Oryctolagus cuniculus: one gene and its partner. The protein of the gene in region 1 interacts with the protein of each later gene in a pairwise test. Links are inferred from orthologs where the notes say so. Each region holds a gene or a part of one and is shown on either strand. Other genes may lie near its edges.

Region 1 (3,493 bases):
AGCTTCAAACACACAGCCCCCAACACAGCCCAGCCTTCTCCCTCCCTCACTTCACCCCACCGAAGAGCCCAGCAGGACCAACCGTCCCTCCGCCTTCACAACCCACCCCACAGCTGGTTGCCATGGAACAAATCCATTGTCCTAAGGCTCAGACAGGCCAAGACACTGGCTGTGGGACTTCCAGCCAGCAATGGGATGGGACCAAGCTGGGGACTGAGTCCCAGATGTCCCCAGTTCCTAGGTCAGCGTTTCTTCCCCTCTCAGCCCCTGGACACAACCTTAAAGCAGACAGCTTCCTGGGGGCAAGCTTCAAAGGAATGGGGGCCACTCCCTCCCACAACTCTCCTTGCCGCGCCGGCTGCAGGCAGTGACGCGGAGGCCCCTGGCCAGCTTACCCCTGGTTTGGTGTCTCCCCCCTGGCCCTTCTGGAACTCCTGCAACAGAGAGAAGTGGGCACAGAAGCAATGTAAGCTGGAACCACAAACGCCCTGGTGCCCTGTCGTGCCAACAAGTCCCAGGGAAAACCGATGGATCTGCCTCTCCCCACCAAAAAAAAAAAAAAAAGATGGATCCCACACCACACGAGTATGGGAGGGGCTGAGAGAGGGAGGGAGGCAGGCGCCGAGCACGAAGGCCGCCCCCCTCCCACGACAGGAAAGGCTGCTGCCCACAGGACGGACGAGGCTGAGTGTGGGTCAGGCAAGGGGCCGGGGTCCCAGCAACACACCTGTCGGTAAAATACGTGGGGTCTGAGACCATCCTCCCGATAGATATTTTGAGCTCATCAACCAGGGACGCCGGAAGGCCAGAAAGTGCTCCCTACGGCCAACAGGGGGGACATTACCAGGGGACCCCACCGCACCCCCACTCACACCCCCAGGCACAGAATGCAGCTGACAGGGCTGAGACGCAGGGCCCACAGAGGTAAAGAGGCAGCCCCCTGGAGGGGTCCTCACCAGCGGCAGGCTGTACGCGAAGTGGGTGACCGACCCGGTGGACATCGGGGGCTGCGGGCGGAAGGTCTTCGCCTCCTCCTGGCGTGTGGCCCTGCAGTCCGAGTACTTGTCCCGCACGTCGTGCAGCTGCTGGGACCCACGTGCGTCCAGCCCAACACTCTTGCCTGCCCTGGCCCTAGGCTAAAAGGCAAGAAGCCCAGGCTCTAGACCCAAACAGCAATTCCCTGAGCTACCACCCGCTGCACCCTGGGCCACACACAGAGGGAAGAGCAAAGGACAGGACCCAGTCCCTCCTGCAGGCTGCTCTTCCTCTAAGGAGAGCCAGATGGCTGCCGGGAGCCTCAGTCCCCACCCGACCCGGGGCCTGGCGGGGCAGGGGCAGGGCCAGCAGCCTGGGCAGCCTCACCTCTGCATTCCCTTCTCTGAAGCCAGCGGCTCTGTCTCAGCCCCATACTGGAAGGACCTGACCAGTAAGCCCCTCCCGAGGCCCGCACGGCACCCCGGCCCCCCGCAAGGCGACCCCGGGCTGCATTTTGGGCAGCCCTGCAGTTAGAAGCCACACGGGAGGAGGGCAGATTAGGTCGGAGGGCTGTGCGGCCTGGCTCCTGGAGCCTCTAGACCCTCCTCAGGACAACGAGGCGCTGGGATGAGTGTCTCCTTGACGTCCCCTCCAGCTCTGACTCACACGGAGAGGGGCCCAGAGCCCCACGAGGCAGGGGCAGGGAAGAGGCCTGGGCCCCCAGGGGCCATGCCACGGGGAGGAAGCTCCCCACGCCCGCCCGGGCTCACCGACTGGCAGCGCTGCTGCAGCCTCGCGATCTGGGCCTGCAGCTGAGTGATCTCCTTCTGCTGCCGCTCATAGTTTTCCAGCCGGAGCACCAGCACCTCGGACAGCTCGGCCATCTGCTGGCTGGCCTCAGCTGCGGGAGGGGGCAGAGGTCAGAGGTCACCCACCCCTCAGCTCCCGAGGGCTCAGCATCCCCTCCCCACCCCCGCCAGAGCTGCTTCTCCTGATCCGCCTCTGGGTACCGTGCAGGGTACTGGGGCCAGTGGTCAGCAAGGCCTGGTCCCAGCCCACACTGTGCTTGTCTAGTAGGGGACAGCTGGGGAAAGAAACTCACAATAACAATCTACATAGGTTATGATGGAGCAAAGGTCAAGGGGAGGTCGTGGGGAGGGGGGCAAAGGTCAGGGAGGAGGGGTCATAACTGTAGCACACAACCCAGCCTGCCAAGGCCCAGGTAGGGTTCCTGCGAGAAGGAACCACTGAGCTGAGCTCACAGGGCAGAGGCTTGGCCAGGCAAAGAAGGGAAGACACCGGCCAGGCCCAGAGGGAACCGCGTGGGTCTGGCTGGGGCAGCGGACAGGGCCCAGAGCACAAAGCCTGGGAGTTAGCAGGAGGAGTGACATGGTCAGATCTGGTTTTAGAAGACTCAGCTAGGCTGTGTGCAGAAGGGTCTGGAAGACCCAAAGCGTTCCAAGGGGGCAGCTAGTGATTTTCCTGGGCTAAAGGCAGCCGGAGCCCAGAGGAGCAAGGAGACTTGAGGCCGTTCCTGGGAGCAGAAGCAGCAGAAACTGGGGGCTGGCTCCTTCCCCAGGGGAGCTGGGAAGGTCAGGTTCAGGGTGAGGGGACAACAGGAGTTCAACCACTGGCACCGAGGCCTGCATCTCCCAGCTGGACCAGAGGCTCGGGGCCAGGGCAGTGTGGAGTCTGCCCCGGTGTGCCTGGCCTCTGGCAGCTCGTGGCTCCCTCCTGGCTACCTCCAGTAGATGAGCAGCCCCAGGGCCCTGCAAAGCCCGTTACACGTTGCACAAAGCACTCCCTCAGCTGTTGCCTCTGGGGATTCTCATAAGCCCTGAGGGATGGGGGCAGGACTATTAACCCCACCCCACACCCCCTTGTAAAGAAGAAGGCTCAGAGAGGTCAAGGAACCATCCGAGCCCACACAGCTAGGAGGTGCCAGGGCTGGGGCTTGAAGCTCAGGCTCTAGAACGCGGGTGCCTCCCTGCACTCCTGGGGCAGCCCCCAGCCCAGGCTGCACCCGCACGTACAAAACTGCTCCACGCACTCCAGGATGAGCATCTGCTCCTCGTCCTCCAGGGTGTCCAGGTGAGAGGCCTAGAGGGAGGGAGTGAGGAGGGGGCAGGGCGTCAACAGCGCCCGCCCCCAGGGCCTGCCCTCCCACCCAGCCTCACCTCCTCCCGAAGCTGGTCATTCTCCTCCTCCAGCAGCCTCAGCTTCCGCTGCAGGGCCTCCAGCTGTGGGCAGTGGTGCAGCGACTCCTCCGGAGAGGGCCTGGGGGATGCAAGGGAGTCAGGGTGCGGGGCGTGGGGCCCGGCTCCCAGCCAGCCATGGCCTCTCCAGCAGGGCTAGGGGTGCAGCCTGTGCGTCCCAGCTGTGCACATCCGGGCAAGGGGAGGATGCTCACGGCCTGGGGTCGTCATAGGGATGGTCATGCCTCCGAGCCTCCTCTTCCTCCTGTTCCTCTTCTTCCTCCTCTTCCTCCTCCTCCTCCTCCTCCTCCTCCTCCTCTTCT
Region 2 (2,637 bases), on another chromosome or scaffold:
ACGTACTTCTGGGCAGCCTCAGAGCACTGCACCTGCTCCTCCCAGTTCTCACCAAAGAAGTACTCCATGTCCTTGGTCAGTGCCTCCTTCCGGTGCAGCTCCATGGGGAAGTATAAGGGGGCAAAGGCTGGGTGGTCCTTATTGCGGTCCATTTCTTCCTCCAAGGCTGAATATGTGAAGTAAAGTGCGGTGGTGGCCAGCTATTGGGGGGAGGGAGAGACACTGTTGGAATGTGCTGCAGGTTGGCCAGCAGTGCCCAGACTCACCGTGTTTGAACAGCTACAAAGGAGCAGGCAACACGCACCATCTAGCTCCTGAAGACCCAAGCCTGACTCGTTTTAATACAGTGAATTATTTAACATGCTCAGGAAGCTTTCGTGTCACAGGAAAAACATGATGAATTATTTGGGATATGGATGCTTTTGTTTCCTTTATGTCATTATGTCATTCCACTTAAGCCATGAGGAGAGGCACAGCTTACTGCCAAGAAAGTACGGAGCATGAAGAATGGCCCAGTTGCTCCCTTAGAGCAATTCCTTGGGACTAAAGTCCCCAACCTGACCCTGTGAGGCTGGAACCCACCCGCATCTGTGACTGACAGCACAAACCTTAAATATCTCCTTCTTAATGTTGCCTTTCAAGAAGTCCTTGACAAACTTGGTATTTTCTGCCCGGTCATGTGCTTCCTTGGTCCCTTCCTTCAGGAGCTCAGAGAGATCAGCCATTCTGTTGGGAGATGGGAATACAGGTGAGAGTATGTGACAGAGAAAATAAGAGTAAGTCCTTCCTAACTCTGGGTGGAAAGACCAGCCAGTCCCCAAGGTGGCCACTTGCTGCTCAGACACTTCATTCCAGCACCAGCAGCACAGCCTTGTCGGGGAGTGCAGGGTGAGCAGACAAGACAGTCTGTCCCAAGGACATGCGATGACTGGCCTGCTCCTCAAAGCACATGTACCTCGACTGGGGCAAGTGTTGTGGCACAGCAGGTTAACCACCACTTGGAACACCCACATCCCACATCGGAGTGCTAGGTTGAGTCCCAACCCCACTTTGGACCTAGCTTCCTGCTGGTGTACCTGGGGAGCAGCTAAGTCCTTATCACCCACAAGGAGAGCCAGGCTCCTGGCTTTAGCCTGGCCCAACCCACCCACTGTGACCATCTGAGCTGTGACCCCATGGACGGAAGATCTGTTCTTCCCAACCTCCTGCCACTCTACCTTTCAAATTTATCTTTAAAAAAAAAAAAAAAAAAAAAAGAACCACTGGGGGGCCGGTGTTGTGGCATGGCAATTTAAGCCACCACATTCAATGCCAGCATCCTACATGGGGGCCAGTTCAAGATCCAGCTGCTCCACTGCTGACCCAACTCCCTGCTAATGGCCTGGGAAAGCAGCAGAAGATGGCCCAGTGCTTAGGCCCCTGTACCCAAGTGGGAGACCTGGATGAAGCTCCTGGCTTTGGCCTGGTCCCAGCCCTGGCCATTGCAGCCATTTGGGGAGTGAACCAGCAGACCGAAGATCTGTCTCTCCTCTCTCTGTAACTCTTTCAAATAAATAAGTTGGGGCCAGTGCTGTGGCATAGCAGGTAAGGCTACCACCCACAGAGCCAGCATCCCATATGGGCGCTGGTTCAAGTCCCAGCTGCTGCACTTCCAATCCAGATCTCTCCCATGGCCTGGGAAAGCAGTAGAGGATGGCCCAAGACCATGGGCCCCTGCACCTGCACGGGAGACCTAGAAAAAGTTCCTGGCTCCTGGCTTTGGATCAGCACAGCTCTGGCCATTGCAGCCAACTGGGAAGTGAACAAGTGAATGGAAGACCTTTCTCTGCCTCTCCTTCTCTGTGTAACTCAAATAAATAAATAAATCTTTAAATAAGTAAGTCTTTAAAAAACCAAAACACTGAATCATGCTTTGTCTCTGTGGCCACCTAGTGGCTGAAGAAACCACCTCTACTCCCATCAGTGTTCCTGGCTTCTATAGCCTGGCCTTTGGGAATGGCTCAGATGCTGCAGCCATAAAGGACTGTGATTGGGGGCTGCTACTGTGGCACAGTGACGCAGCGGGTTAAAGCACCAGCACTGTAGGCATCCCATATGGGTGTCAGTTCAAGTCCCGGCTACTCCACTTCTGATCCAGCTTTCTGCTATTGGCCTGGGAAGGCAGTAGAAGATGGCCCAAGTCTTTGGACCCCTGCACCTGTGTGGGAGACTTGGGAGAAGCTCCTGGCTCCTGGTTTCTGCTCTGGCCGTTGCGATCATGTGTGGAGTGAACCAGTGGATGGAAGACTTCTCTGTAACTCTTTCAAATAAATAAATTTTTTTAGAAAAGAGGGGTGGGGACTGACTGTGAAGGCTGGGACAGTCCTTGGGTATGCTGCTGAACAAAATCACACAGGAAGTAAGTGTTGTTTCTGTACTTATAGAATGCTTCTGTGTGTACCTCACTACCTTTGCATCTGATTAACTGCATTGCTGGTTTCCATGGCAACAGAAATGAAGTTAATTAAGATCAGGAAGTTAGAATCAGAGAAAAATAGTATTTAACAAAGTCACATCATGTACATTTAAATTAGTTTCTTTTTAAAAAAAATGTTTTGGAGTAGAAAAAATATCAGGCGGCCGGCGCCGCGGCTCACT

The links.
Region 2: the proteins of HAP1 (region 1) and HMOX2 interact in a two-hybrid assay, tested with the Homo sapiens proteins (2 studies listed by BioGRID and IntAct). The link is inferred for Oryctolagus cuniculus from reciprocal best matches to the Homo sapiens genes HAP1 and HMOX2.

Annotation. Positions count from the first base shown.
Region 1 is NC_091448.1:20,964,816-20,968,308, reverse strand, and holds part of HAP1 (huntingtin-associated protein 1), read right to left. Parts: coding exon 3,386-3,493; intron 3,253-3,385; coding exon 3,153-3,252; intron 3,076-3,152; coding exon 3,009-3,075; intron 1,877-3,008; coding exon 1,746-1,876; intron 1,137-1,745; coding exon 957-1,136; intron 820-956; coding exon 728-819; intron 435-727; coding exon 396-434; intron 1-395. UniProt on the Homo sapiens protein: Originally identified as neuronal protein that specifically associates with HTT/huntingtin and the binding is enhanced by an expanded polyglutamine repeat within HTT possibly affecting HAP1 interaction properties.
Region 2 is NC_091450.1:31,090,393-31,093,029, forward strand, and holds part of HMOX2 (heme oxygenase 2), read right to left. Parts: intron 727-2,637; coding exon 609-726; intron 201-608; coding exon 1-200.